Sus scrofa: one gene and its partner. The protein of the gene in region 1 binds, or shares a complex with, the protein of each later gene. Links are inferred from orthologs where the notes say so. Each region holds a gene or a part of one and is shown on either strand. Other genes may lie near its edges.

Region 1 (4,408 bases):
TCTTAAAGTACACAAATCAAAAGCTATACAACATCAACAGCAAATCCAAATGAAGATATTCCTCTGAATTTCACGTTTCATCGAGCATCAAAAACCACCACTGTATTAAACTGAGTTAAGGAAAAGAAAAGTAATTAAAGATTTCATTAAAAATTTAGCTCTTCCAAGTCACTTTCTCTTTGTGACATCAATTTAAAATACACAAAAGAATGAAATTCACTATTTACTATGATAATTAGAAATGAACTAAAAATAAACTAGTTAATTATTAGTCCCCTTTTCATGATACAAAAGACCAATACACCAAAAAATACTTAAGTGATGGTAAAGGTAAAAATTTAGCAATCTAAAAAATACTGTTAGTTACTACATAACAATTTACTTTCTACTAATTTGTAAGCCTCACTTTCTCCACTAGGTAATATACGTCTCAATATTTTTATTTCTCCCTGTATAATTAGTGTGTCCATGAACTAAAGCTCAAGAATGAGTACTTAAATATAGAATCCAAGAAAGATACACTTATGAAAACCAAAATTAACTAGTATTTAGATTATTTAGTATATGCCTATGTACCGGCATATTGGTCCATAACAATGCTAATCAAGCTTTTTTTTCCCCTGCCTTTTTAGGGCCGCACATGCAGCATATGGAAAGTCCCAGGCTAGGAGTCGAATGGGGGCTGTAGCTGCCGGCCTACATACATACCAGCCTCAGCAACTCAGGATCCCAGTAGCATCTTCGACCTACACCATAGCTCATGGCAATGCCAGATCCTTAACACACTGAGCAGGGCCAAGGATCAAACCTGCGTCCCTATGGATGCCAGTCAGATTCGTGTCCGCTGAGCCACGATGGCAACTCCATGCTTATTTTTTCACTAAGTAATCCAAGTTTTACCATTTTTTAACAGCTAGTCTTTGACTATCAACCCAAGCATTATTCTCCACTTCCTCCTACCTCATATTTAGAAAACACAGTTAAAAGGATACATCTTTTAGTTCTTTTCTTGTACATTATTCTGTACCCACATTCTCTGCATCGGATGGGATCCCTTGATTTTATTTCATTTTCTGTGTGACATTCTAAAAGAGAAAACATATTTATTCAATGCCTAAAAGAGAAATAAGAGGCAAGCAAATTATCTTAATTATACTTTTCCCCCAAAGCACTAAAATATGTATACTAAATCTCAACATTATCAACATATTAAGGGAAAAGAAAGAAAAGAGTGGTGGGCAACGCACTTTTTCTAGGAGAGAAAATGAAATCTTAAAATAGTTGCTAAAGCGCTAACTTCAAAGAGGAAGGACTCAAGTAAAATAAAGATAAATGCACTATCTTTTTAAAAAACTGAGGTAAAATACTTTTATTTTATGTAAGTGCCACTCTTACCTCCACAGATATATATCATTGGCTGCTGTTTTGGGGGTTGAACGTCCTTCTGTGTGTCCATCGTTATCCCTGAAATCACAGATTCAAATACTGAACATCTTAAAGGGGCCCCTCACAAATCCAATCATGCCTTATTTTTCTCAGGGAAAGCTAAAAAGCTAAAAAGTTCCCAATTCCTAATCCGTACTTTTTAAAAATCCTACCGCTGGTTCTAAAGAATGAATCAAACCCACAAATAAGCATTTTGCATTTACCCCCAAACTGGACTCCATAAACACTTTACAGATTTCATATTTACACATGCTATTTCATTATAATCTCTACAACAATTCTAGGCGGTTAAATAATTACTCTTAATGAACAGATCAAGAAACTAAGATTTAGGGAAGGTTAATTTGGTCAGGATTATTCAGTAGTTAAAAGGCAGAGGAATTTAGATCTGACTGCGAAGCTCTGGTTTTCATTTAACACGAGTACAAGTACTATTTTTCTTTTTCTTTCTTTTTCTTTTTTTTTGTCTTTTTGCTATTTCTTTGGGCCGCTCCCACGGCATATGGAGGTTCCCAGGCTAGGGGTCGAATAGGAGCTGTTGCCACTGGCCTACGCCAGAACCACAGCAACGTGGGATCCGAGCCGCGTCTGCAGCCTACACCACAGCTCACGGCAACGCCGGATCATTAACCCTGCCCTGAGCCAAGGGCAGGGACCGAACCCGCAACCTCATGGTTCCTAGTCGGATTCGTTAACCACTGCGCCACGACGGGAACTCCAATTTTTCTTTTTCTTTCTCTCTCTCTCTTTTTTTTTTTTCCACCCGCGGCATGTGGAAGTTCCAGGCTAGGGGGTCCAATAGGCCTGACAGCCACAGCAACGCGGGATCCGAGCCCCGTCTGCTATCTATACCACAGCTCAAGGCAACGCTGGGTCGTTAACCCACAGAGCGAGGCCAGGGATGGAATCCGCATCCTCAAGGATACTCATCTGATTCAGTTCCGCTGCGCCACAAGGGGAACTCCCACAAGTGAAATTTTCCCAAAATTTAGCAAGAAATTGCCAAAAAACTATACCCCTCAACAGGAAAACATGCGAACCGAAGAAAAGGGAAAAATAATGAAATAACTCCTAACAGCTGAAAAGGCAGACAACCCAACAGCTAAACAAGCCAAAGGGCTAACAGCATCGACTCCATCCCCAGCCTCTCTCGACTCTAATCCCACACCGGACCTCCTGTAACCCCTAGTATCTTTCCAGTTTTGGCCCAAACACTCACCTTCCAATCCCAAACCGCCAATCCGCCAAACCCCTACCCACGGAACACGGAGAAACTTCCCGAGGCTCCCTAACAGATTCCTGAGGCCGCTGTGTGTCAGCCCACTTCCGGCACTGGCAGATGACGCAGGATGTAGTCTCCGCCCCTTCCGCCCAAGGAGTGGCCGAAGAACCCGGATTGAGCGCGGGCAGTTAAATTGGAATTATGTATGTTTGATTCGCTCTGTAGAGGTTCTTATTTGGCTCCCAACTATTTTCATTTTTCGGGGAGGCAAAGAATTTTAGCAGTTTCTCAGGTCGAAGGAGGTTTGTTTCTATGACAAATGAAGGCCGCAGAAAGTAACAGTTTTCCAAGAGGTCAGAGCGTTAGATACCCAAGTGAAGTGCTCATGGAATCCCTGGGCTGACCGTTACTCCAAAGAACGTGGAAGTATCGGTTTCACCGCTGATTTCCACGTAGAAGAGCAGTTTTCAGATTATGGATTTCAGATCGTTTTAATACCTGTGCCGCCGGCAGTGGAACAGCCGCCTCCTGCCCTTTGCATAATGTTTGCTTTTCGACCCTTTCTCACTTAGGTACCTGTCATCCTTCTCAGCCTCTCCTTTTACTCGTTTTAAAGCACAGGCGGACTTGCAGGCAGCTACATCCAACTACTGCCACTTAAAGCTGAGGGATTTAGGTAGTGGTGGCTGTTTACCGACCCTCCTTTGGTCCCATGTATTCTCTAGAAGAACAAAACGACCTGCTCAGTGGAATCCTTTCAAAGATCAAACTATTAGTGAGACATTATCGTTGGATGTACACATTTACATTCGTTTGCTTCTTTCATAGCAGGCATTTTACTAATATCAGAATGAGAGGAAGAAAATGAAGTTGTTACAATTTAGAAAATACATATTCGTTATCTATTACAGTTAATTGGAGAAGCAGGTTTCTTTCTTCCCAACATGCATTATTTTGGTTTCTTATTAAGCAGGCAATACTGCTCTCTGGTCTTCCATACGGAAACTTGGGAACTTTGAGCTTCGCATTACACTTCCAGGAGGAGTTCCAACTGCCGGCACCTCCACAGACCAACTTGAGAGATTTAACTCAATCTTCCCAGTCTTCTTAGCTCCCTGTTGTAAAAATTTCAGGAAACACAGTGGAGTGTCCTGCTTCTTCCTCCACAGACAGGCTAAGACAGAACATACAAGTATTTTGACCATCTTAAAAAATATCTCTCCTGTCAGCCAAAGGGAAGAGGTAACCCAAAAGAAGAATCAAAATAAGCTTTGCTCCAAGAAGTATTAGATAAAACCATTGTTATCATAAGAGAAAGATTATGGAGTGATCCAAAAAGTATAACTTTAATCATTGCAAGCTGACCTGGATTCCAACTCTCAAGCTTGAGATTTCAAGAAGATGCTGGCACTTAATGCAGTCTATGGAGATCAGGAGGAATTAACACATGCAGAATACAAACGGCTCCTGGGACCCTACAGAGGGGTAGAGTAAAGACAAGTTGTAGCAAGGAGATCCAGAATTTCAACAAGAGTTCATGTTGGGGCTAGATCCCAATCCAACACTCTTGTTCCTATGAGTAGGAACAGTAATTTTAGCATCATGTGGAGCATGGTCAGTGGAAGCTATTATCAGTGATGACAACTAACATTTCTTGAGTGCCTACTATGTGCCAAACATCATTGCATTGCCTTCTCCTAATGAGGGTATTTGTCTTGCCATGTTGGATACTAGTGCTTT
Region 2 (4,538 bases), on another chromosome or scaffold:
TATTTTTCCAAATCTGCCTCTGTGAATAAAATTATTCATGTGTAAAATCTGCATCTCTATAGTGCCTCCTTATTTCAACACTGATTCCATAATGAGGAAAGTCTATATGACTATGGATATCACTTTATCTATGGTAATTCAACTACTGAATTACAAAAATATATATATATATATATTTAAACCAAGGCATTATAAAGCCCCAGTATAATTTTAAATTAGTAGTATAAATCTTATATTGATGATATAAATTATTTTTTCAGCAAACTAGATGCTGTTTTAGTGTTTCTGAAGTCAGTCACCCCTAAAAATATCTGCTTGGTGATCCACACATTTATAGGTACAATGTGCTTTCCTCTGGAACTCCCTACTTAATGAATCAATCTTACTTTAAGAGTTTGCCTAGGTGCTTTAATTAACTTGCAAAGTGACCACAGAGATTCACATGCACTACAGCTGAAGGAAGGGAAATGTGTATTCTTCAGAAGTATACGCATAAAGAGTAATTCAGGATTGCTCATTAATTTAAAAAGTGTCCAAAATACTGATGTTATTAAAAATATGTGAATACATAGGCACTATGTGAACTAAGCAAGTTCATTTAAAATGCTAAACTTTATTTTACTTGAGCCAAAGTTTTTGTCTTTTATGAAATACATAGTAATCTAGGTTTGTCCTGTTTTTCAAAAACAAGATAGTCCAAACTTTGAAACTTTAATTAAAGGGCCATCAGTGGCATAAGCTAATGATTAAAGGGTTTCTTCAAAAGTTTGAGACTCTAGTACAATATTGGAAAATAAACTGGATTAATATCTATATTGGATACCATATTACCATGCAAATAAATGAAAATACCGTCTACTTAGAATTTTAATTTTTGAATACCCAGTTTGCACTAAGCCTTCTCACATTATTCATAATATCCCATACATACACGTATTGTTGACAGGAGGTCCTATGTCAAAGCTTTAGATACTTATCTACTTTGAAAAGCTTCGTGTCTCAAATATTTATTATAGGAAAAATAATGAAGTATTACGAGCTATAGTCTAACATTCCCTGAATACTTGATAAACAAAGCACTACCAAAATCAAATCCTCTACAGCTAACAGGTAATGCCTAAAGCTTTTCAAAAACAAACAAAAAACAAAAAAAAATAATGCATGCATCTTCTCAATACAGGAACAATTAAGACATCTAAGCTAAAATTCTCTTTAAAAACAAAACACAAAATAAAAAGGGACAGCAATTCTATTTTCCCCTAACAAAGGTTAAGTCCCAGCTGCTGCATCAAAACAAAAACTTAGGGCTCCTAAAGCAGCCCCGATTGGGTATGAAATTAGAGTACGAAAGGACTTGGAAATAAATTGAGCTCTACACACGCCTGCCTCTCGCCTCGAGAGCACGCACCTCCCAGCCCCGCTCTCAGCAGCTCTCACTATTTAAAGCCGGATCTGGTGTTTAAATGGAGAGGCGGTGACGTAGGCCTGAAAAGCACCTTCCCATCCTGGCAGAGTCTATATTAGAGAGCGGCAATGGCTCTATATAAACAGGGCAGCCAAAGGGAGGAGGACCACAAGGCTCAGGGACTGAAAGGCAGGGTAAGCGGCCGCAGCCATGATGGATCGACCCGAGTCGTCAACGGTACGGAGTCGGGCGGCCGCGGGCTTGTCTGCATTTGGGACCGGGCAAAAACGTGTTTTATTGTCACAATAAAAATAAGAGAGTGGGGTGGACTAGTGATCACATTGCGTTGGTGACTGAAAAGGTTATTTATGTGACTGCTTTTTGCAAACCTACGTGATCGCAAGTAAGAAAAAAGGGACAAACGGTGAGAAGTAGGCAAATTTCGAGGCGAAAGTGGGGGCACTTTGACCACTGTAAGCTTTGTTTGTTTTGGTGTTTTTGCTAGTCGAAGATACGATGGGGGGGGTTGCTTCCCCTTCGCCATTTTACCGATTCGGAAGGAACCGAGATAAGTGCTTTTCAACCTTCGTCCTTTTTTTTTTTTTTTTTTCTTAAACGTAAAATGGCCCCAGTGAAGCCTCCTAAGCACAACCCGCCACAACACCCAAAGTAACCCCCAAGTAGCCATTAGCCTTCCACTGCGTTAAAGTGGATCGCGGTGGGTCTTGGGGATTCGCCCAGTTCCCAAGACACGGTTTTTGTTTTGAGGCTGCTCGGAGAGCCCTTCTCCAGCCAGCGCGGCAGGACCCGCTTCGGGGAGGAAGCGGAGGCTCCCCTCCCGCCCTCCCTCCTGGCGGATGGGGTCTGGGGCCAGGGCCGCGCGCTCATCCCGGCCTCAACCGCCTCAGCGGCCCGGACCGCCCCGCGGCAGTTCCAGGCCCCGCCGGCACCCCCGCCCTCCCTGCCGCCGCGGCCCCGAGCCCTCGGCACCCCCCCGCGCCCGCCGCCCCGCGCCCCGGCCCGCTCCGCCCGAGGCGGGAAGCGGCGGCGGCAGCGGCGGCAGCCGCGCGGGCAGCTGAGAGTTGAGGCCGGGAGTCGCCGCCGTCCCCGCCCCCGCCCGGTCCGGCCGTTGCTGCCGCCTGAACGAAGCCCCCGCCGGCCACCGAACCACGTCCTTACCACGGTGTTTGTATTTGCCGAGTTCGCCATTTCCACACACAACACAAACAAGAGGGGGGCAAGCCCCGAGAAAACAAGATAAAAACAAAACGAAAAAAAAAAAAAAAAACACCCAGAGGGTGACCCAAGCCACCGCAAAATTGGGGGGGGAATTTTAAACAAAATCGGATCCTGCTGGATTAGAGGGGATCGGCGAGGGGAGGAAGAGGAGGGGGCAGTCCTCCCGGAGCTAAAAACTCGAGGATCGCCCTTAAAAAAAAAAAGGGCACGACCCTTCTGGGGTTTGGGGGGCGTTGCCCGCTCCCCACCCCGCGCCAAGGAGGGAAACCACCACTGGTCGCCGCTCCCCGCGCCGCCGCTGCCGCCACCGGCTGCAGCTCCAGCCGTCCGGTCCGCCCGCTTCTCCCTTTATATAGTGAGCCAACGAGCTGCGCGAGCCGCCGCTGCCGCCGCTGCCGCCGAGAGACAGGGCGGAGGGGGAGGGAGGGGCGGAAAGGGCGGGGGCAGAGGTGGGCGGGGCTGAGCGCAAGACACCGCGAGAGCCGCGTGCGCAGGCGCGCCGGGGCGGAGGCCGCCGCGAGCCGCGTCGTCACGCTCAGGGGAGGGTGTTGTGTGGGCGGGACCCGGGGACTTAAGTAGGGAAGTCCGACCGCGGTCTCCCCAAATGTCGCGTGATCACGTGGTCGGCAACCAGGCGGAAGTCTCCGGCTGCTGTTTTGGGATGAAGAACTTGCAAAGCTCTGTTGGAGAAAAGCGTGAGTTGTGGCGACGCTCGAGTCGAAACCTAGCTGATTCCGCCTCCTGTCGGGAGATTCTGAGCTGTCCCACGCTGGAGGGGCTAGGAAATGTAGGAGCTCTGGCGGCTGCCCCGCTAGGCATGGCTGTGGAAAAGGGCGGGTCACGTGGCCCGGCTTCCGGCAAAAGTTTTAAGTGCGGAGTCATCTCCGAGCGTGAGCTAAGGTCAGACTCCTAGTTGCTGAAGCGTTAGCACGCCTTGCTGAGGGTGGGCCTTTCGCTTGCAAAATTGTGTATGAGTTCCTGAAAGGGAACTGATTTGGTTCCCCTCTTACTACATTCAACAATTATTACATATTATTACATTCCACAATTAATAATCCCTGAAGCCAGCAGAGTTGTCTGTCTCCATCAGTACAACTACAAAGTCTCTTTAAATTTCCGTTCCCCAGAGTCCCGGCCTCTCCAAGCCCACTTACTTCAAATAACTTCTCAAGGTGGTAGAAATGTTAAAACTAACCCCCCAAAAAAGGTCACCACCTGGATTATGACCGCACAACTTTTCCTGGTTTTTTTTTTTTTTAAATGTTGCAAAAATTCAGTGATTCCATATGTTCAGCACGTGCTAACATCTTGAATACTTGCCCTTGACCCATCAACTCTCATGGCTGCAAGAGAGCAGGTAGAAAATGGCCATGTATTCAAGGGCAACTCAGTAGGCGTTTGACCTGCTCTGCCCAAGCTAATCCCGCCTTTATATCAGCATTTCACGCAAAACGGAATACTCTGTTTAGAAGACAGAACTCAACAGTTCCTAATTTTCTTGTCCCTAGGAATTGCGAGTGACATGGAATGCAGTCTGGACAAGTGAGGGAGTTGATCCTCAAAAAGCAAAGCAAAACAAAATGTCAAACTTATGCTCCTGAAAGAAGATTTGAGAAAGATCAGTTGCTTTTCAGTTCCCTGCACAGTGGCCTCTTTGGGAACACTGAAAGAGATAAGACCATAGGAAATCATATTGTCCTATACTATTATATAAAATTATGATTCCATCACCATTTGTAATTCATGTAATATTCAAGTGACCATTGGCCCGAAAAGTTAAATTAACCCATGTCTTTAATTTCTTACCATTTTAAGAGGACTTTTTACCTCCTTATTTAAGTAGTACTGTTTGTACATGGAATCCCTCACCTTTCACCTCTTTTTCTTCCCTATC

Evidence for each region. The genes of interacting proteins can lie anywhere in the genome.
Region 2: POLR2K (region 1) and GTF2A1 share a complex: the UniProt entries of both Homo sapiens proteins name them as parts of the TBP-based Pol II pre-initiation complex. The link is inferred for Sus scrofa from reciprocal best matches to the Homo sapiens genes POLR2K and GTF2A1.

The regions. Positions count from the first base shown.
Region 1 is NC_010446.5:36,849,817-36,854,224, forward strand, and holds the start of POLR2K (DNA-directed RNA polymerases I, II, and III subunit RPABC4), read right to left. Parts: upstream 2,807-4,408; 5' UTR 2,666-2,806; intron 1,465-2,665; 5' UTR 1,457-1,464; coding exon 1,396-1,456; intron 1,086-1,395; coding exon 993-1,085; intron 101-992; coding exon 78-100; 3' UTR 1-77. UniProt on the Homo sapiens protein: DNA-dependent RNA polymerase catalyzes the transcription of DNA into RNA using the four ribonucleoside triphosphates as substrates.
Region 2 is NC_010449.5:104,006,258-104,010,795, forward strand, and holds the start of GTF2A1 (transcription initiation factor IIA subunit 1), read right to left. Parts: upstream 3,062-4,538; 5' UTR 2,615-3,061; coding exon 2,585-2,614; intron 1,643-2,584; exon of another isoform or gene 1,556-1,642; intron 1-1,555. UniProt on the Homo sapiens protein: TFIIA is a component of the transcription machinery of RNA polymerase II and plays an important role in transcriptional activation. TFIIA in a complex with TBP mediates transcriptional activity.